3 linked regions of the Anolis sagrei genome follow. The protein of the gene in region 1 interacts with the protein of each later gene in a pairwise test. Links are inferred from orthologs where the notes say so. Each region holds a gene or a part of one and is shown in the gene's direction. Other genes may lie near its edges.

Evidence for each region. The genes of interacting proteins can lie anywhere in the genome.
Region 2: the proteins of FSD2 (region 1) and ESD interact in binary tests that used the Homo sapiens proteins (3 or more experiments, as listed by UniProt). The two-hybrid records come from large-scale screens. The link is inferred for Anolis sagrei from reciprocal best matches to the Homo sapiens genes FSD2 and ESD.
Region 3: the proteins of FSD2 (region 1) and SPATC1L interact in binary tests that used the Homo sapiens proteins (3 or more experiments, as listed by UniProt). The two-hybrid records come from large-scale screens. The link is inferred for Anolis sagrei from reciprocal best matches to the Homo sapiens genes FSD2 and SPATC1L.

Annotation. Positions count from the first base shown.
Region 1 is NC_090029.1:32,404,368-32,411,895, reverse strand, and holds the start of FSD2 (fibronectin type III and SPRY domain-containing protein 2), read left to right. Parts: upstream 1-4,427; 5' UTR 4,428-4,543; intron 4,544-7,528.
Region 2 is NC_090021.1:140,294,658-140,301,719, forward strand, and holds the start of ESD (S-formylglutathione hydrolase), read left to right. Parts: upstream 1-3,972; 5' UTR 3,973-4,105; intron 4,106-7,062. Other genes in the region: NHLRC3 (NHL repeat-containing protein 3), read right to left, coding at 3,730-3,876.
Region 3 is NC_090021.1:163,078,383-163,086,391, forward strand, and holds the start of SPATC1L (speriolin-like protein), read left to right. Parts: upstream 1-4,980; intron 4,981-6,159; exon of another isoform or gene 6,160-6,627; 5' UTR 6,628-6,640; coding exon 6,641-6,827; intron 6,828-6,858; exon of another isoform or gene 6,859-6,981; coding exon of another isoform or gene 6,982-7,000; intron 7,001-8,009.

The DNA of each region.
Region 1 (7,528 bases):
GTCACACTCCCCCTAAAAGCTCAGGTACGCAGTCTGGGAGTTCTCCTGGATTCATCGCTGAGCCTGGAACCCCAGGTCTCAGCGGTGGTCAAGGGAGCATTTGCACAATTAAAACTTGTGCGCCAGCTGCGTCCGTACCTTGGGAGGGCTGAATTGACCACAGTAGTACACGCTTTGGTTACATCCCGCTTAGACTACTGCAACGCTCTCTACGTGGGGTTGCCTTTGAAGACTGCCCGGAAGCTGCAGCAAGTCCAACGCGCGGGAGTCAGATTACTAACGGGGGCTGGGTACAGGGAGCACACCACTCCGCCGTTACGCCAGCTCCACTGGCTGCCGATTAGCTTCCAAGCACAATTCAAAGTGCTGGTGTTGACCTATAAAGCCCTAAACGACTCCGGCCCTGTTTACCTCTCCGAACGTATTCTCCCCTACGAACCATCAAGATTACTAAGATCATCTGGAGAGGCCCTGCTCTCGGTCCCACCGGCCTCACAAGTGCGGCTGGTGGGGATGAGGGACAGGGCCTTCTCGGTGGTGGCCCCGCGACTCTGGAACTCTCTCCCTCTGGAGGCCAGAACTGCCCCATCCATCCTAACATTTAGGAAACGGGTGAAGACATGGCTGTGGAGTGAGGCCTTCGATGAATGAGACAACACCAAAGGACCCTGGATGGAAGCTGATGTAGATCCATCTTAATAGGACGACTGACCACTGTAGTTTTATATATAGTGTTTTTAAAGTTGTTTTTGTAATTGTGATATATGATATTTTAATGAGTGTATATGTTTTTTATGGCTGGAAACCGGGCTGAGTCCCTCAATGAGGTTGAGAAGCTCGGTATAGAAAACTGTGAAATAAATAAATAAATAAAAGGCATGAGCAAACTTGGGCCCTCCAGGTGTTTTGGACTCCCACAATTCCTAACAGCCTCGGGCCCCTTCAAGGACTGTGGCTCCTGCAGCAGCTCCAACAGCAAGGACCTATGTCTTCCCTTTTCCTCACTGAACTGAACTCCCCTGTTTCAATGTAACAACCCCTAATAAAGAAGTATCCTTTTTACTCACTTTTCCTCTTCATAGTGATACATCGTGTCCTTTTACTATCTCAAACATTAACAAGCATAAACTAGGCTTGGGTAACAACAGAAAAAATTTGTTTCTAAACTCACTTCGTTTTTAGGGGTCCATCGCGTTTCGTTTTTTTAAAGAATTCCGAAATTTTGCTTTTAAAAATTTCAAAATTTACGAAATTTCGTAAAATTCCGAATCGATTCGTTAATGGTGGACGCGATTGCGCAATACGCTAAAAAAACCCTCCAAATGGGACAGAGGGAACTTCTGAAGCTTCCCTCTCCCTCTGTTGTTGACAGTTGGTGTGATAAAACAAACAACAACTATAAAACTTGCACCAGACATGCGAAAATAATTACGAAATAATTTTGAAATAATTACGAAATAATTACGAAATAAATTGAAAAAATTGTTTCGAATCTAATTTACTCCTCACACTATTCCTGCATGGCTCAATATTGGATCGTAAGCTAATTTAAATACAAATTAATAACAAATTACGAAATTAATGAATGAAACCGCCCAAGCCTAGCATAAAACTTTCCTTTCCTGAGCCGCATATCCCTGCTGACTCGCCTGGGATGCTCTTACAGCGTCCCAGGGAGGCCAAAACTGTGTTCCTCTGAACCGCAGATACGGAAACCCATTGGGCCCCCATATCTGCGGGTCAACGGATCGGCTCTAAACCAGTGCCATCTTTTTGCTAGACTAATTCTAAGACTAACTGCTATCTTACTGATGATCAGTTGAAACATTTACACCTGGCTCCAGCAGACAAGAGTCCTTTGTCCCACCCTTGTCATTCCACAGATATATAAACCCTTTTTCCTAGTTCCAACAGACCTCACTACCTCTGAGGATGCTTGCCATAGATGCAGGTGAAACGTCAGGAGAAAATGCCTTTAGAACATGCCATATAGCCCAAAAAACCCTACAACAACCCACTGCTATCTTACTTTTAGCATAACAGACCTCTGTACCCCAGGAAAACCAATTTTGTCCCAAAAACCTCATGTTGGGTCCAGCTGGCTCCAATCCATGGCTCCACACTGCAACAATGTTCTGCTTCCATTTTATGTGCGTCCAGAAGCCTGTTGACCCCAGGAGAGTCCCTTGAGGTCACCCCTTGGGACCCCCAGATCTCTGGCAGGCCGCTCTGCCCTTCTATGAATTGGATCTGTAATTTTTTCTTCCTTTCCAATGAGTGCATTCCAACCTCTAGTGCTCCCAGGACTGTCACCAATTTCCCATGAACTTTCATAAACTTTTCTCCAACTCCCATGAACTTTCGAAGGACTTTTATGAACTTTTGCCAACTTTCACCAATTTTTGGGAACTTTGAGTACTTTTATCAACTTTTGAGGACTCTTTGGAACTCCCATGAACTCTTTGCCAAACCCCTATGGACTTTTAATAACCTTCTCAAACTTTTATGAATGTTGATGGACTTTGGGGGGGGGGGGGGAAAGACAGCTGACATGATTTGCCCTTAGACCAGTGGTTCTCAACCTGGGGGTCAGGACCCCTGAGGGGGTCACCAGGGGCTGTGAGAGGGGTCACCAAAGACCATCAGGAAACACAGTATTTTATGTTGGTCATGGGGGTTCTGTATAGGAAGTTTGGCCCAATTCGATTGTTGGTGGGATTCAGAATACTCTTTGATTGTAGGTTAATTATTAATCCCAGCAACTACAACTCCCAAATGTCAAGGTCTATTTCCCCCAAAATCCACCAGTGTTCACATTTGGGCATATTGAGTGTTTGTGCCAAGTTTGGTCCAGATCCACCATTGGTCAATGCCCACCAAACCCTTCCAGTGTTTTCTGTTAGTCATGGGAGTTCTGTGTGCCAAGTTTGGTTCAATTCCGTCATTGGTGGAGTTCAGATTGTAGGTGAGCTATAAATCCCACCAACTCCAACTCCCAAGTAACAAAATCAATCAATCCTCCCTCCTCCCAATTCCACCACTATTCTAATTTGGGCATGTTGGATATTTGTGCTAAATTTGATCCAGTGAAAATACATCCTGCTTATCAGATAATTGCAGTACCATTCATAACAGGAGCAAAATTACAGTTATGAAGTAGCAAAATAATGTTATGGTTGGACTGTATTAAGGAGTCGCAGAATTAGGACGGTTGAGAAACACTGCCTTAGACCCTACATGATTTCCCCTTATGAATTCCTTTCATATTCCCCAACCTATTGCTCATTCCTCATGTGTATGTATGTCTATATTTTGAAAAATGTAGGAAAAAGCCACCGTTTTCATGAAACCAGCACCTCATGGCTCCAGGAAGCTTTCCCAATTTCCTGGGCCAGTAAATCCGTAAACAAAGGACTCAACCAAGACTCACTGCATGGACAATAAATAAATGGTTCTTATCAAGCAAAAAGTGAGCGCTAGAAACAACATCATACGAAAGTTGACTGGCACAACCTGGGGATCACAACCAGACACAGTGAAGACATCTGCCCTTGCGCTATGCTACTCTGCTGCTGAGTATGCATGCCCAGTGTGGAACACATCTCACCACACTAAAACAGTGGATGTGGCTCTTAATGAGACATGCTGCATTATCACGGGGTTTCTGCGCCCTACACCACTGGAGAAATTACACTGTCTAGCCGGTATTGCACCAGCCGATAGCGAAAGGACCAAGGCAGAGACATCTCCAGCTCATCCCTTGTTTGGGTATCAGCCAGCACGTCAACGACTTAAATCAAGATATAGTTTTCTTAGATCTACAGAGACACTCGCCGGAGTGGAGTCCACGACATGCGAGTGTGGAGAAGAGCAAACCACTAACCACCTGCTGCAATGCAACCTGAGCCCCGCCACATGCACGATGGAGGACCTTCTTGCGGCAACACCAGAGGCACTCCAAGTGGCCAGATACTGGTCAAAGGACATTTAATCAACTACCAAGTTGGCAAAATCTGTATTTTGGTTTTTTTGTGGTTTTTTTAATCTGTTTGTTTGTTTTGTTCTGTTAGATATGTAATACAATGGTATGGTTGCTGATGACATGATAAATAAAATCAGACGAGACTTCGGAAGGCAAAGAGCCAGGCCATCTGGGATGTTAGGACTTATGGACATTTAAATCACTCAACACAAAGGGTATCTTCCTATCTGTTTATTGGGCTTCAACTCCCATAATTCTTAACAGCCTACTGACTGTTAGTGATTATGGGAGTTGAAGTCACAAACACCTGAAGGGCCGAAGTTTGCCCATGACTGTTTTAACCCCAACTTTTCTCCAGAGTTGTTTGGGTCTGACATTCTCCTCCCTGACACACAAGAAGTCATCTGCTGAAGGACAGCTGGTGCCAGGCTATATTTGTTCTTCTTGCTCATCGCATGCATGCTACGCTTAGGATAAGCAGCCGTCTAGAGTTACAGCAGTGAGGCTTCGGTTTCAGAAGTCGAAAGCTAGCAGGGAATGGCTGCCGAATGAAAAATTCAGGTTTGTTAGGAAAAATAGGAGGTTTTGTTATTGTTGGGATAGAAGTAGAATGATCAATCATTGATACTTAAATAGAAAGTTTTTGAACAGCAATATTATCAGTCTTTTAATTTATTCTAGAATGCAGTATCTCTCCACTACTTTGCATCAATGTTTGGAAAGCTGGGTAAACAAAATTTAATTTCAACTGTTTTTACACATTCTTCCTTAAGGTGTAAATGCCCAGTGATTTCTTTCTCAATGAACTGCAGCTCGAAAGAAGGGAATAAGTAAATATGAAAGCACTTCCTTGCGTAAATGGTCAATAAATAGAATGTGCATGTTCTGAAATGTGGTGTTGTCGCTTTATGTTCACAATGCTATTTAATGGTTCTTTTGAGTTTTTTTTTTTTTAAAAGCTGGTTTAACTGGAAGGCCATCTTGTGGACTTCTAAAATGAAGGTTCCTAGGGCTACAATTTTCAAACCTTGGTCATTGCTTCACGTGTGATTGCAGCTCTATTTCTAGCTCCAAGTTTACCCCTGTCTGCTTGCAGGGGCAGCTCAACCCATTACGCGAAGTAAGCATTTGCAGTATAGTTGATTTTGTCCAGGGGCGCTCTTGAGGTGCTCTTTGGGGAAAATAGACCGTACATATGCGAGTTGTAGTTACTGGGATGTATAGTTCACCTATAATCAAAGAGCATTCTGAACTCCACCAATGATGGAACTGAACCAAATATGGCACACAGAACTCCCACAACGAACAGAATATATATATCAGTGATTAGTTGGGGGGGGGGGGGAATACTGTTTGCTTACCGTTGAAAATTACCTGGAGCCGCCTCTGGCTGCTTGAGGCTCGTCTTTTGCTTTCTTTACTTCTTGCTGAGCAATAAGATCAGCCCAAAATGCAGTGTATTATATTCTCTCCTTTGCAATGGTGAGTTTGGAACAGTAAGTATAATGATAGGCACCTAAAGGAACTCTCCAGAAAGGCCCACTGTTTTATATTCTTTCAATCTGCAACCGTAGGGAGGGTGGGTGGGGGATACTTTTGTACAGTACCATATTCATTGATGGGGATATATCATCATCAGTTTACTAGACACATTTTTTTTGCACAAGTACGACACAAGGGTTTTTTGTTTTGTTTTGTTTTTGTATCAGGAGCAACTTGAGAAACTGCAAGTCACTTCTGGTGTGATAGAATTGGCCATCTACAAGGATGTTGCCCAGGGGACAGCAAGATGTTTGATGTTATTTACCATCTTTGTGGGAGGCTTCTCTCATGTCCCTGCATGAGGAGCTGGAGCTGACAGAGGGAGCCCAACCCGCTCTCCCTGGATTCGAACTGCTGACCTGTCGGTTAGCAGTTCCTGCTGATACAAGGGTTTAACCCATGGCACCACTGGGGGTTCGACACACAAGTTAACATGTTTAAACCCTGGCTTGGGCTGGGAATTGAGAGGGAAGGGTGCTCAGGCTTCAAAACCATCTCACAAACAAACACTGTATGCTGTGAGTTTTCCAGGCTGTATGGCCATGTTCTGGAAGCATTTTCTCCTGACGTTTAGCCCACATATATGGCAAGCATCCTCAGAGGTTGTGAGGTCTGTAGGAAACTAGGCAAGTGGGGTTTCTATATCTATGGAATGTCCAGGATAGGAGAAAGGACTCTTGTCTGTTTGAGGCAAGTGTGAATGTTGCAATTGGCCATCTTGATTAGCATTTAATAGTAGGCATGGGCAATCCATGGTTCTAAATGGTTCTAAAGTACTTACAAAACTCGAGAGCGCTGATGATTTGCTTTTAAAGTGTTTCTAAAGCTGGTGCTGTGCTTCTAAAGTGTTGCTAAAGTTCTAGTGGTGAAAATTTCAGAACTCTAACAAAACTTCCAAAATTTAATTATTATTTCATTATTGGCGATTTTTATGACCGAACCAATTAGGAACTGCCATTTATAACCAAATTTTGAAAGTGTTGTTGGAGTTCTGATATTTTCATCACCAGAACTTTAGCAACACTTTAGAAGCAAAGCACCAGTGCCCCCTAGTTTTGTAAGTACTTTAGGACCATTTGGAACCATGGATTGCCCATGCATATTGAATAACCTTGCAGCTTCAAAGCCTGGCTGGTTGCTGCCTGGGGGAATCTTTTGTTGGGAGGTGTTATCTGGCCCTGATTGTTTCCACTCTGGAATTCTCCTGTTTTCTGAGTGTTGTTCTTTATTCAGCCAGAGAAGTCAGCCATGGCACAGCACCTGATGAACCAGCCTGGACACTGCATATTATTTGAGAACACAGAAATGCTGGACCACTCTCACAACCACTATGTCATACTACACAGAGAAACCATTGAAATCCACAAGTATGTGGACAATTTCAAAAGAAAGGAAGAAACCATGAAAATGAACAAAATCTGGCTACAGGTATTTAAAAATCTATAAAATCAAGATAGTAAAAAAAAAAAGCAAAACTCAGAAAACAAGGGAATTCCAGACAGGAAACAATTAGGGCCAGTTAACACCTCCTAACAAAGGATATCCTCAGGCAGGAAGCAGCCAGGCTTTGAATCTGAGAGGCCATGAAATGCTAATCAAGATGGCCAGTTCCAACATTCACACCTACCTCACACAGACAAGAGTTCTTTCTCCCACCCTGGACATTCCATAGACATATAAACCTCACTTGCTTAGTTTCCAACAGACCTCGCAACCTCTGAGGATGCCTGCCATAGATGTGGATGAAATGTCAGGAGAGAATGCTTCTGGAACATGGCCAGGCAGCCTGGAAAACTCACAGCAACCCAGTGATTCTGGCCATGAAAGCCTTTGACAACAGACACGGTTTGGTCTTTTCTTCCAGTATCGTATGCTGTGATATTGGCTTTCCTATCTGAGATACAGAGAAGCACAGCAGTTCCCTGTGACTTCAGCTGACATCTTGAGTCCTGGCAATCTCCTTGTGCGCCAGCTGCGCCTGTACCTTGGGAAGTCTGACTTGGC
Region 2 (7,062 bases), on another chromosome or scaffold:
GCTCCAGGCACTGTCAGCCCATTGTATGCTAATCAAGGTGGTCAGTTGAAAAGATTCACACCTAGCCCAACTTACAAAAGCCTTTTGTCTCACCCTGGTCATTCCACAGATATATAAACCCCCTTTTCCCAGCTCCAGCAGACCTCTGAGGATGCTTGCCATAGATGCAGGCGAAACGTCAGGAGAAATGCCTCTAGAACATGGCCATATAGCCCGAAAAAATCCACAAGAACTGCATGAATGAATTCCTATGCACACTGCACATATCTTATTTGTAGTGCAAAAGACATTTAAAAACAATACAATAATTAAAATGAAGAACAATTTAAACAAATATAAACTTATTAGTATTTCAATGGAAAGTGTGGGCCTGCTTTTGGCTGATGAGATAGGGTTGTTGTTATTGTTGTGTGCTTTCAAGTCATTTCAGACAGGTTGACCTTGAGCGAGGGCTGGGTAAATGACCTTGGAGGGCCGCATCCGGCCCCCAGGCCATAGTTTGAGGACCCCTGGTGTAGATGAAGCCAGAGAGTAGTGTATAATGTCTTATTGAAGAGCTTTGGAAAATGTCTTCTAACATTTTGACTGGACCTAATAAAGACACCAGATGGCTGTGGGTTCCACACAGTTTCCCATTCATCAGTCAGTCTAGGTAACAAATCATGTGAATTATCCGTGCATATAAATAAGGCCCCTTCTAACTGCCATATAAAATCCAGGTTGTCTAATTTGAACTGGATTAAAAGGCAGTTTAGACTCATATAATCCAGTTCAAAACAGAGAATTTGGATTTATATTTAAAGACCTGCATGGTTTGGGTTATATTGCCATATTATCCGGGTTATCAAAGCAGATAATCACATTATCGGCTTTGAATTGGATTATATGAGTCTACACTGCCATATGATCCAGTTCAAAGCAGATAATCTGAATTTTGTGTGGCAGTATAGATGGGGACTTAGTGTCTATTTTACTTTATTTCAACTGGGAGATTTCATGAGGGAGTCTGTGGGGAAGGGCGATTTATTTTAGTGTCTGTTTTACTTTAACTGGAAGGTTTTGAAGTTGTAAAAAAATTAAAAGGGGGTTGTGAGAACCATCTGTCCAATTGGCCATACATCAGCAAAATCCTGGAATAGGTGGTGGCCAGACAACTCCAGGGGTTGTTGGAAGTTACTGATTTCTTAAACTCATTTCCATCTGGCTTCAGGCCTGGAGATGGAACAGAGATGACTTTGGATGATCTACATGGAGAACTATATAAGAGGACTGTGATCTATTTGGTTCTCCTTGACCTCTCAGTGGCTTTTGATATCATCGACAATAGTATCTTTCTGGAAGGACTGATAGGAATAGGCCTGAGAGGCACTGTTCTGCAGTGGTCCCAGTCCTTTCTCTCAGACTGCAGTCAGAAGGTGGTGCTGGGGAAGCCCTGTTCAAACTATGGCTGTTGGACTGTGGGGTCCCGCAGGGCTCATCACTTTCCCTATGTTATTTAACATCTACATGAAACCGCTGGGAGAGATCATCTGGAGTTTTAGAGTTCAGTATCACTTGTATGAAGATGATGCTGAACTCTACTATTGCTTTTCACCAGATAATACCATGAAAGCTGTGCTGCGATTAAAACCAGTGCCTCAAGGCAGTAATGGGCTGAATGAGGCTAAACAAATTGAAACTGAATCCAGACAAGACAAAAGTACTACTGGTCTCATGTAGGATGAATCCGGGAATAGGGGTACAACTCCAGAGCTGGACTGGGTTACATTCTCCCGAAAGCTCAGGTTCACAGTTTGAGGGTATTTCTGGATTGCTCTTTAAACCTGGAAGCCCAGGTGGTGGAGGTTCCCAGGATCATCTTTGCACAACTCAAACTGGTGAGCCAACGGTGGGCATTCCTAGAAAAATCTGACCTGGACACTTTGGTACATGCCTTGGTTACATTCCACCTGGATTACTGTAATGTGCTCTATGTGGGACTGCGTTTGAAAACAGTTCGAAAACTTCAATTTGTTCAAAAATTGGCAGCCAAGTTGCTAATGGGAGCAGATATAAGAGAATGTACTATCCGCTCCTGAAACAGCTGCATTGGTCCATGCCTGAGTCACATCTCGTATAAATTACTACAATGCAGTCTACGTGGGGCTGCCTATGAAGACAGTCTGGAAGCTTCAAATAGCTCAAAGATCTGCATCCAAACTGCTGACCGGAGTGGACTGTAGGGAATATATGACCCCCCCCCCTCTTGAAGCAGCTCCATTGCTTGCTGATCTGCTTCTAGGCCCTATTCAAAGTGCAGGTTATTACCTACAAAACCCTATATAGTTTGGGTACTACCTATTTACGTGATCACATCTCTCCTGATAAACCTGTTCAGGCCCTAAGATCAGCCGAGGACGCCCTCCTCTCAATTCTACCTCCCTCACAAGTGAGGTCGGTGGGGACAAGGGAGTGGGCCTTCTCGGTAGTGACCCCCCAACTTTGGAATGCCTTCCCCAAGGAAATTAGACAAGCACTAACCCTCAAAACTTTCAGGAAGGAGTTGAAAACCTGGCTATTTAAGCAGGCTTTTGATAATGGCTAAGACTATCAACCACCTTATCGGACAGGACTTTAAATGGTAATTAGAACTATAATTTATAATGCTGGATACCCCGATCATAGGAATTGGCTGGTTTTAAACAGTGTTTATATAGATACTGTTTTTAGTGGGCGAAATGTTGCAAATTGGCCACCTTGATTAGCATTAAATGGCTTTGCAGCTTCAAAGCCTGGCTGTTTCCTGCCCAGGGAATCCTTTATTTCACAGATATATAAACCTCATTTGCCTATTTTCCAGCAGACCTCACAACCTCTGAGGATGCCTGCCATAGTTGTGTGTGAAACGTCAGGAGAGAATGCTTCTGGAATGTGGCCATACAGCCCGAAAAGCTCACAGCAGCCCAGTGATTCCAGCCATGACACATTAAGGTAAAGGCAAAGGTAGTCCCCTGACATTAAGTCCAGTCATGTCTGACTCTGGGGTGTGGTGCTCATCTCCATTTCTAAGCCGAAGAGCCAGCGTTGTCCGTAGACACCTCCAAGGTCATGTGGCCGGCATGACTGCATGGAGCGCCGTTACCTTCCCGCCGGAGCGGTACCTATTGATCTACTCACATTTGCATGTTTTTGAACTGCTAGGTTGGCAGGAGCTAGGGCTGACAGCGGAAGCTCACACCGCTCTCCGGAATCGAACCTGCGACCTTTCGATCAACAAGCTCAGCAGCTCAGTGCTTTAACCCACTGCGCCACCGGGGGCTCCGCAGTGGCTCCATGACACATTATCTGGGTGGTTTTTAAGGTATTATATTGGGGGTTTACATAGTGTTCCACACTAATTATACATTAGTATAATTTGTGTGAAATAACATAATATGTATGGGTTTAACTTGGTTTTAATTTTCATATTGTATGTTTTTACTGCCTGTGAGCCGCCTTGGGCCCTTGACTGGGGAAAGGCGGGGTACCAAATTCATAAATAACAACAATAAATAGCATAGGTTGTTGTGAGGGCGCCTGTCGTCATGGTGACACCCTCTGTCGCCATGGTAACATGCTCTCCCTCACAGGGTGGTCGTGAGACCCTTGAGGAGGGAACACAGGCCACACCTCGATGGCACTGACATCTTTTTTGGCACAATCAATACACATGGGCCCTTGGGAGCATCCTCTTTGTCTTGGCCGACCCACCTGAAGCTCGCTCCCTGCCCTATACGAAGCTAGGACCACAAAGAGGAGGGAGCCCCCCGCAAAGGCCGCCAGCAGCCGGAACCCGGAAACGGAGGGGACCCCCATAGCCAGGCAGCCCGCAGCCCGCTCTCCAGGAGTTCTGCGCATGCTCAGCCACAGAGAACACAGCCCGGAGAGCGAGGCACCTCGGGAAATGGAGTCCTTTTCTCCACCTCTCAAGCCAAAGAAGGGGCGTTGCAGACTACAACTCCCATGCAGCAACAGGAGAGGGGAGAGCTGGAGAAGACTTTGAGTCCAGGGGCCATCAGAGGGCCAGGCGTGTCGATAAAAGGGATTTGCTTCACCCTAAGGCTGTTGATTGATTAAGGACACAAAGGTAAACACAGGAAGAGGCTTTTCCGTGGCTTTGGGTGCATCCACACTGTAGAATTAATGCAGTTTGGAATCACAAGAGCTGCAGTTCCTCCATATCTTTAGCTTTCCCTGCCAAAGAGGGCTGGCGCCAAACTATAGTCCTCATGATTCCATAGCATGAGCCAGGGCAGTGCAAGCGGTATCAAACTGCGTTAATTCTACAGTGTAGATGCCTCCTTAGGTCACTTTCCTGGCTCACTTTGGAAATTTACATTTATGTTGCATTTGACTCGTTTTTAAAAAGTAATTCCCTGCTGTCCATCTCAAAAAAAAAGCCGACATTATTGAGTAATAATAGCTATTTTGGAGCTTCATCTGGCTTTGCTGCTAGGTGGACTTACTTACTTCCTTCCTTCCTTAGGACCCTTTCAGATAGACCCAATATCCCAGGATCTGATCCCAGGTTTCCGCTGTAACTTCAGTTTTATGAGTCTGCACTGCCAGATAATCTGGGATGAACAGAAAAGCTGGGATCAGGTCCTAGGATTGAGATTGATTTCATTGGGATTGATTTCTTGTTGCATTATTTTGTTTTGTTTTACTTTGCTTAGTTTTATTGTATTCCTAAGTTGTTTTGGGAGCCCCCGGTGGCGCAGTGGGTTAAAGCAGAGAGATGCTGAGCTTGTTGACTGAAAGGTCACAGGTTCGAATGCGGGGAGCGGCGTGAGCTTCCGCTGTCAGCCCCAGCTTCTGCCAACCTAGCAGTTCAAAAACATACAAATATGAGTAGACCAATAGGTACTGCTCCGTCAGGAAAGTAATGGCGCTCCATGCAGTCATGCAGGCCACATGACCTTGGAGGTGTCTGTGGACAATGCCGGCTCTTCGGCTTAGAAATGGAGATGAACACCACACCCCAGAGTCGGCCACAACTGGACTTAATGTCATGGGACAACCTTTACCTTAAGTTGTTTTGCTTTTATAATGTATTTTACTGTAATGTATTTCCATTCTTGGCCTCATGTAAGCCTCCCCGAGTCCCTTTGGGGAGATGGTGGCGGGGTATAAATAAAGATTATTATTATTATTTGAAACACAACAAGATGAGTCCACAGCAGACACTCTGCTGGCTGTTGTAGTGGATTACACGTCGGGCACTTCCCAGGTGATGTATTGGTGAATAATGCATTCAGATCCCAGTAAGGTGGCCTTCTGCAGCTAGCAGATGGTAATTGTGTCAGCTCCGATTGTGTTTAAGTGCAGGCCAAGGTGTTTAGGCACTGCACCCAGTGTGCTGATCACTGGGACCACCTTGACTGGCTTGTACCAGAGTCTTTCCAGTTTGATATTTAAATCCTCATATCGTGTCAGCTTTTCCAGTTGTTTCTCTTCAATCCTGCTGTCACCAGGGATTGCAACATCGACAATCCATTATTATTATTATTATTAGGATATAGGGCCTGCTTGGAAGTGCCCTAGATCTGTGCTCCAAAAGGGTTTATAATCCGAAACAGGCAATTTATGCCCCATTACACTGCCCTATAAAATCCATATTATCTGCTTTGAACTGGATTATATGGCAGTGTAAATTAATCTAATACAGTTAAAAATAGATAATCTGGATTTTATATGGAAATGTAGATGAGGCCATAGGTAATATCGGAAGGAGAAGTGGTTGGGAGGTGTGAATGTAAGTTAATACATAAGTGGTTTTAATAACACTATGTAACATGGGTTTGTTCCTGGGTTATAAATGTCATTTCCTAATTGGGTCTATCACAACAACATGGGAAAAGTTTATTAAACTGCCAAAACTTTGTTTGTGTGGGAGATCCTGCTGCACATTTTGCTCTAGTTTTTCATTGAATCTCAACCAGTTCAGCATAGCTTGTGGCAGCCACAAAAACGAAATTCCTGGAGTAGAACAACTACTTTCAAAGTAAGCACCATGCAGTTAAACAGGAAATAACACTTTCAAACCAGAGACAGAAAATGTTTCAAATTTTGTTACATAATGTAATCGAAAAGAAAGGCTAGACTTGTGTGTGGTACGAAAGCAGAGTGAGTGGAAAGAGATAGTAAGCTATTTTTAAAAACTCAGTAGAGTTCATGCAGACATGAGCAACTAAAGGCTGCTTAAGAAGCACAAACTGTTGCTGGGTGAGGCAAAGTAATGAAGCACCCTTCCATCTGTATCTGCAGGACATATATGTCTCTATTTGTGTGTACTAAGACATACAACTAAGAATAGATGCTGTAGTGAAAATGGATTGTGGTGATCTTTTCCCTTTCAGTAAATTAATCAACTTGGCTGGGTATAGGAGTTTGACTAAATCCTGCTCAGCTTTGTTTTATTCTAGAACAGTGTTTCTCAACCTTCCTAATGCCGCGACCCCTTAATACAGTTCTTCATGTTGTGGTGGCCCCCAACCATAGAATTATTTTTGTTGCTACTTCACAACTGTAATTTTGCTACTGTTATGAATCATCATATAAATATATGCAGGATGTATTTGATACAAATATGCGATATGCCCATATTGGGGGGGGGGATAATTAATTTTGTCATTTGGGAGTTGTGGTTTCTGGGATTTATAGTACACCTACAATGAAAGAGCATTCTGAACTCCACCAATGAGGGAATTGAACCAAACTTGGTACACAGAACTCCCATGACTAACAGAAAATACTGGAAGGTTTTGGTGGGCATTGACCTTGGGTTTTGGAGTTTTAGTTTGGGAAAAAGAGGCCTTGACATTTGGGAGCCGTAGTTGCTGGGATTTACAGTTCACCTACACTCAAAGTGCCCCTTGAATCCCACCAATGATAGAATTGGGCCAAACTTCCCACATAGAACCCCCATGATCAACAGAAAATACTGCAGGGATTTGGGAGGAATTGACAGTGAGTTAGGAGCGATGTAGTTCACATACCTCCGGAAAACACTGTGTTCCTAAGACCATCAGAAATATGTGTTTT
Region 3 (8,009 bases), on another chromosome or scaffold:
CTCGCCTCCTGCGCCCGCCGCCTTCGGGGGACGCCAGAGGCGACTGGGAGGCCCCCTCCATGGCTGAGGCCTTCTCCGCTCGCCTCCTGCGCCCGCCGCCTTCGGGGGACGCCAGAGGCGACTGGGAGGCCCCCTCCATGGCTGAGGCCTTCTCCGCTCGCCTCCTGCGCCCGCCGCCTTCGGGGGACGCGAGAGGCGACTGGGAGGCCCCCTCCATGGCCGAGGCCTTCCCCGCTCGCCTCCTGCGCCCGCCGCCTTCGGGGGACGCGAGAGGCGACTGGGAGGCCCCCTCCATGGCTGCAGCCATGAAAGAGGCCTTCTCCGCTCGCCTCCTGCGCCCGCCGCCTTCGGGGGACGCCAGAGGCGACTGGGAGGCCCCCTCCATGGCTGAGGCCTTCTCCGCTCGCCTCCTGCGCCCGCCGCCTTCGGGGGACGCCAGAGGCGACTGGGAGGCCCCCTCCATGGCTGAGGCCTTCTCCGCTCGCCTCCTGCGCCCGCCGCCTTCGGGGGACGCCAGAGGCGACTGGGAGGCCCCCTCCATGGCTGAGGCCTTCTCCGCTCGCCTCCTGCGCCCGCCGCCTTCGGGGGACGCCAGAGGCGACTGGGAGGCCCCCTCCATGGCTGAGGCCTTCTCCGCTCGCCTCCTGCGCCCGCCGCCTTCGGGGGACGCCAGAGGCGACTGGGAGGCCCCCTCCATGGCTGAGGCCTTCTCCGCTCGCCTCCTGCACCCTCCGCCTTCGGGGGACGCGAGAGGCGACTGGGAGGCCCCCTCCATGGCTGAGGCCTTCTCCGCTCGCCTCCTGCGCCCGCCGCCTTCGGGGGACGCCAGAGGCGACTGGGAGGCCCCCTCCATGGCTGAGGCCTTCTCCGCTCGCCTCCTGCGCCCGCCGCCTTCGGGGGACGCCAGAGGCGACTGGGAGGCCCCCTCCATGGCTGAGGCCTTCTCCGCTCGCCTCCTGCACCCTCCGCCTTCGGGGGACGCGAGAGGCGACTGGGAGGCCCCCTCCATGGCTGAGGCCTTCTCCGCTCGCCTCCTGCGCCCGCCGCCTTCGGGGGACGCCAGAGGCGACTGGGAGGCCCCCTCCATGGCTGAGGCCTTCTCCGCTCGCCTCCTGCGCCCGCCGCCTTCGGGGGACGCGAGAGGCGACTGGGAGGCCCCCTCCATGGCTGAGGCCTTCTCCGCTCGCCTCCTGCGCCCTCCGCCTTCGGGGGACGCCAGAGGCGACTGGGAGGCCCCCTCCATGGCTGAGGCCTTCTCCGCTCGCCTCCTGCGCCCGCCGCCTTCGGGGGACGCCAGAGGCGACTGGGAGGCCCCCTCCATGGCTGAGGCCTTCTCCGCTCGCCTCCTGCGCCCGCCGCCTTCGGGGGACGCCAGAGGCGACTGGGAGGCCCCCTCCATGGCTGAGGCCTTCTCCGCTCGCCTCCTGCGCCCGCCGCCTTCGGGGGACGCCAGAGGCGACTGGGAGGCCCCCTCCATGGCTGAGGCCTTCCCCGCTCGCCTCCTGCGCCCTCCGCCTTCGGGGGACGCGAGAGGCGACTGGGAGGCCCCCTCCATGGCCGAGGCCTTCCCCGCTCGCCTCCCGCGCCCGCCGCCTTCGGGGGACGCGAGAGGCGACCTGGAGGCCCCCTCCATGGCTGAGGCCTTCTCCGCTCGCCTCCTGCGCCCGCCGCCTTCGGGGGACGCCAGAGGCGACTGGGAGGCCCCCTCCATGGCTGAGGCCTTCTCCGCTCGCCTCCTGCGCCCGCCGCCTTCGGGGGACGCCAGAGGCGACTGGGAGGCCCCCTCCATGGCTGAGGCCTTCTCCGCTCGCCTCCTGCGCCCGCCGCCTTCGGGGGACGCGAGAGGCGACTGGGAGGCCCCCTCCATGGCCGAGGCCTTCCCCGCTCGCCTCCTGCGCCCGCCGCCTTCGGGGGACGCGAGAGGCGACTGGGAGGCCCCCTCCATGGCTGCAGCCATGAAAGAGGCCTTCTCCGCTCGCCTCCTGCGCCCGCCGCCTTCGGGGGACGCCAGAGGCGACTGGGAGGCCCCCTCCATGGCTGAGGCCTTCTCCGCTCGCCTCCTGCGCCCGCCGCCTTCGGGGGACGCCAGAGGCGACTGGGAGGCCCCCTCCATGGCTGAGGCCTTCTCCGCTCGCCTCCTGCGCCCGCCGCCTTCGGGGGATGCCAGAGGCGACTGGGAGGCCCCCTCCATGGCTGAGGCCTTCTCCGCTCGCCTCCTGCGCCCGCCGCCTTCGGGGGACGCCAGAGGCGACTGGGAGGCCCCCTCCATGGCTGAGGCCTTCTCCGCTCGCCTCCTGCACCCTCCGCCTTCGGGGGACGCGAGAGGCGACTGGGAGGCCCCCTCCATGGCTGAGGCCTTCTCCGCTCGCCTCCTGCGCCCGCCGCCTTCGGGGGACGCCAGAGGCGACTGGGAGGCCCCCTCCATGGCTGAGGCCTTCTCCGCTCGCCTCCTGCGCCCGCCGCCTTCGGGGGACGCCAGAGGCGACTGGGAGGCCCCCTCCATGGCTGAGGCCTTCTCCGCTCGCCTCCTGCACCCTCCGCCTTCGGGGGACGCGAGAGGCGACTGGGAGGCCCCCTCCATGGCTGAGGCCTTCTCCGCTCGCCTCCTGCGCCCGCCGCCTTCGGGGGACGCCAGAGGCGACTGGGAGGCCCCCTCCATGGCTGAGGCCTTCTCCGCTCGCCTCCTGCGCCCGCCGCCTTCGGGGGACGCCAGAGGCGACTGGGAGGCCCCCTCCATGGCTGAGGCCTTCTCCGCTCGCCTCCTGCGCCCGCCGCCTTCGGGGGACGCGAGAGGCGACTGGGAGGCCCCCTCCATGGCCGAGGCCTTCCCCGCTCGCCTCCTGCGCCCGCCGCCTTCGGGGGACGCGAGAGGCGACTGGGAGGCCCCCTCCATGGCTGCAGCCATGAAAGAGGCCTTCTCCGCTCGCCTCCTGCGCCCGCCGCCTTCGGGGGACGCCAGAGGCGACTGGGAGGCCCCCTCCATGGCTGAGGCCTTCTCCGCTCGCCTCCTGCGCCCGCCGCCTTCGGGGGACGCCAGAGGCGACTGGGAGGCCCCCTCCATGGCTGAGGCCTTCTCCGCTCGCCTCCTGCGCCCGCCGCCTTCGGGGGACGCCAGAGGCGACTGGGAGGCCCCCTCCATGGCTGAGGCCTTCTCCGCTCGCCTCCTGCGCCCGCCGCCTTCGGGGGACGCCAGAGGCGACTGGGAGGCCCCCTCCATGGCTGAGGCCTTCTCCGCTCGCCTCCTGCGCCCGCCGCCTTCGGGGGACGCCAGAGGCGACTGGGAGGCCCCCTCCATGGCTGAGGCCTTCTCCGCTCGCCTCCTGCACCCTCCGCCTTCGGGGGACGCGAGAGGCGACTGGGAGGCCCCCTCCATGGCTGAGGCCTTCTCCGCTCGCCTCCTGCGCCCGCCGCCTTCGGGGGACGCCAGAGGCGACTGGGAGGCCCCCTCCATGGCTGAGGCCTTCTCCGCTCGCCTCCTGCGCCCGCCGCCTTCGGGGGACGCCAGAGGCGACTGGGAGGCCCCCTCCATGGCTGAGGCCTTCTCCGCTCGCCTCCTGCACCCTCCGCCTTCGGGGGACGCGAGAGGCGACTGGGAGGCCCCCTCCATGGCTGAGGCCTTCTCCGCTCGCCTCCTGCGCCCGCCGCCTTCGGGGGACGCCAGAGGCGACTGGGAGGCCCCCTCCATGGCTGAGGCCTTCTCCGCTCGCCTCCTGCGCCCGCCGCCTTCGGGGGACGCGAGAGGCGACTGGGAGGCCCCCTCCATGGCTGAGGCCTTCTCCGCTCGCCTCCTGCGCCCTCCGCCTTCGGGGGACGCCAGAGGCGACTGGGAGGCCCCCTCCATGGCTGAGGCCTTCTCCGCTCGCCTCCTGCGCCCGCCGCCTTCGGGGGACGCCAGAGGCGACTGGGAGGCCCCCTCCATGGCTGAGGCCTTCTCCGCTCGCCTCCTGCGCCCGCCGCCTTCGGGGGACGCCAGAGGCGACTGGGAGGCCCCCTCCATGGCTGAGGCCTTCTCCGCTCGCCTCCTGCGCCCGCCGCCTTCGGGGGACGCCAGAGGCGACTGGGAGGCCCCCTCCATGGCTGAGGCCTTCTCCGCTCGCCTCCTGCGCCCGCCGCCTTCGGGGGACGCCAGAGGCGACTGGGAGGCCCCCTCCATGGCTGAGGCCTTCTCCGCTCGCCTCCTGCACCCTCCGCCTTCGGGGGACGCGAGAGGCGACTGGGAGGCCCCCTCCATGGCTGAGGCCTTCTCCGCTCGCCTCCTGCGCCCGCCGCCTTCGGGGGACGCCAGAGGCGACTGGGAGGCCCCCTCCATGGCTGAGGCCTTCTCCGCTCGCCTCCTGCACCCTCCGCCTTCGGGGGACGCGAGAGGCGACTGGGAGGCCCCCTCCATGGCTGAGGCCTTCTCCGCTCGCCTCCTGCGCCCGCCGCCTTCGGGGGACGCCAGAGGCGACTGGGAGGCCCCCTCCATGGCTGAGGCCTTCTCCGCTCGCCTCCTGCGCCCGCCGCCTTCGGGGGACGCGAGAGGCGACTGGGAGGCCCCCTCCATGGCTGAGGCCTTCTCCGCTCGCCTCCTGCGCCCTCCGCCTTCGGGGGACGCGAGAGGCGACTGGGAGGCCCCCTCCATGGCTGAGGCCTTCTCCGCTCGCCTCCTGCGCCCGCCGCCTTCGGAGGACGCGAGAGGCGACTGGGAGGCCCCCTCCATGGCTGAGGCCATGAAAGAGGCCTTCCCCGCTCGCCTCCTGCGCCCTCCGCCGTCGGAGGACGCGAGGGGCGACTGGGAGGCCCCTTGCATGGCTGACGCCTTCTCCGCTCGCCTCCTGCGCCCTCCGCCTTCGGGGGACGCGAGAGGCGACTGGTAGGCCCCCTCCATGGCTGAGGCCTTCTCCGCTCGCCTCCTGCGCCCTCGAGCCTGTGAAGGGGCGAGGGTCTCCCAGCCGTCTTTCCCCTGTCCAGGCAGCAAAGAAGGCTCTTCAGAAACTGAAGGTAGGACAAATCTAATCTTTTGTTAATACCTCCCCCAAATCCCTCCAATATTTTCTGTGGGTCATGGAAGTCCTATATGCCAAGTTTGGTTCAATTCTATTGTTGGTGTAGTTCAGAATGCTCTTTGGTGCCTGGTGAACTATAATTCACACAATTGCAATTCCCAAATGTCAGGGTCTTTTTTTCCCAACCCCTCCAGTATTTTCCGTGGGCCATGAAAGTCCTGTATGCCAAGTTTGGTTCAATTCTATTGTTGGTGTAGTTCAGAATGCTCTTTGGTGCCTGGTGAACTATAATTCACACAAGTGCAATTCCCAAAAAGTCAGAGCTGAATCGGTTGGCGGTAATTCCAATCCCTTCATCCATTGTCCATACTCCCCCAATCATACTGTTTTTATCATTAATCACTATGCTTTAATTATGTTCAATTTGTAACAATGGAAATACATTCTGCATATCAGATGTTTACATTACAATTCATAACAGTACAGTTATGACGTAGCAACAAAAATATGGTTGGGGGTCACCACAACATGAGGAACTATATTAGGGGTCATGGCATTAGGAAGGTTGAGAACCACTGGTCTAGAGGCATTTTCTCCTGACGTTTCGCCTGCATCTATGGCAAGGATCCTTAGAGATAGTGAACTCTGTTGGAAGTAGGAAAATGGGTTTATATATCTGTGGAATGACCAGGGTGTGACAAAGGACTTTTGTATGCTGGAACTAGGTGTGAATGTTTCAACTGACCACCTTGATTAGCATTTAATGGCTTGGAAGTGCCTGGGGGAATCTTTTGTTGAGAGGTGATTTGATGTGCCTGATTGTTTACTCTCTGTTGTTTTGCTGTTGTAATTTTAGAGGTTTTTTTAGTACTGGTAGCCAGATTTTGTTCATTTTAATGGTTTCTTCCTTTCTGTTGAAATTGTCCACATGCTTGTGGATTTCAGTGGCCTCTCTGTGTAGTCTGACATGGTGGTTGTGAGAGTGGTCCAGCATTTCTGTGCTCTCAAATAAAATGCCATGTCCAGGTTGGTTCATCAGGTGCTCTGCTATGGCTGACTTCTCTGGTTGAAGGAGTCTGCAGTGCCTTTCTTGTTCCTTGATTCGTGTTTGGCCAATGCTGCTGCGTTTGGTGGTCCCTATGTAGACTTATCCACAGCTGCATGGTACACAGTAGACTCCTGCAGAAGTGAGAGGGTCCCTCTTGTCCTTTGCTGAACGTAGCATTTGTTGGATTTTCTTGGTGGGTCTGTAGATAGTTTGTATGTTGTGTTTCCTCATCAGCTTCCCTATGCGGTCAGTGGTTCCTTTGATGTATGGCAAGAACACTTTTCCTCTGGGTGGATCTTCATCTCTACTCTCGTGTCTTGTTCTTGGTCGTGCAGCTCTTCTGATGTCTGAGGTGGAGTATCCATTGGTCTGTAGAGCCCAGTTGAGGTGGTTCAGTTCATCTTGCTCAACTTAAATCACCCTGGCAGAGTGATTGAAGTTGAGCGGCAGCATTCTCTTAAGTGTTCTGGTGACCTCATAATGTTGTAGAAACATTCTAATCTGGCTGAGTTTTCTGTGAGCCTTTAAAAGCACTGGGACAAGTGACCTGTCCAGCTAAGGTCCTCTCTTAAATATTGACCCTTCCTCACCAAGGAGGAAGAAAAGAATGTCTGGGGAGAGAGAGTGGTTGAAAAGAATTCAGGAAGAAAATGCACACCTGAAAAATCAGATCAGGCTGTTTAAAGAAAACTACGAATTACGCTTATTGTTGGGTCAGCAGGGCAACCATGTCCAGTCATCAGCACCTCAGAATCCTTCTGTGTATCCCGAACCCGGTTCAGTGTTAAAAGGAGGTGAGAAGTAACCCTTTTGATTTTCTCAAAGCAGTACCTATCAAGCTTTCAATGAAGAATTTAAAAGCCAAAGAATATAGAAATGGCGGCAGTGCCATTGGTGCCACTTGTCTATAGTCAAGGTTCAAACCAATGGCCCACACGTATGAGTTGAATGCTACAATGCCTAGGAAGTAAGTCCCATCAATCAACATACATTGGTTGGGCTGTGAATAATCTGAGGGATCATTGCTCACTTTTGGCGTTATGATTTGAAACGATCTTAAAGTTTGGATATTTAATAAAACAATAATGTTTATGAAATTAAATTTCAATAAAATAATGACATCACAACTGTGAAAGCAAAGAAAACAAAATACACACAGGATTAAAACACAGAAAACAGATACAGGGCATAGGGTTACAGCCTGTGCTGGATGGGGTCGCACTCCCCCTGAAAGCGCAGGTTCGCAGCTTGGGTGTGATCCTGGATTCATCGCTGAGCCTGCGGTGACCAGGGGAGCATTTGCACAGCTAAGGCTCGTGCACCAGCTGCGCCCGTACCTTGGGAAGTCTGACTTGGCCATGGTAGTCCACGCTCTGGTTACATCCCGTTTAGACTACTGCAACGCTCTCTACGTGGGGTTGCCTTTGAAGATGGCCCGGAAGCTTCAATTAGTCCAACGTGCGGCAGCCATGTTACTTACAGGAGCGGGACGCAGGGAGCACACAACCCCCTTGTTGTACCAGCTCCACTGGCTGCCGATTTGCTACCGGGCCTATTTCAAGGTGCTGGCGTTGGCCTATAAAGCCTTAAACGGTTCCGGCCCAAGATACCTATCCGACCGCATCTCGACCTACGAGCCCACCAGGACTTATCTTCCGGGGAGGCCCTGCTCTCGATCCCGCCTGCTTCACAAGCACGGCTGGCGGGGACGAGAGATAGGGCCTTCTCGGTGGTGGTCCCTCGGCTGTGGAACACCCTTCCCCTGGACAGGCTCCTTCCCTGTTGATATTCCGCAGAAAATTAAAAACCTGGTTGTTCAAGAAGGCGTTCGAACAAGAAGTGCAATGATTGGTAATGACTATAGGAATGGAATAACGGAAATGATATGGGATTGTGGTTTGGACGATGAGACGACGCTGAATGGTTTCGTAGTAATGACAATGTTTTGTATAATGCTTTTTGTAGAATGTTTTTTG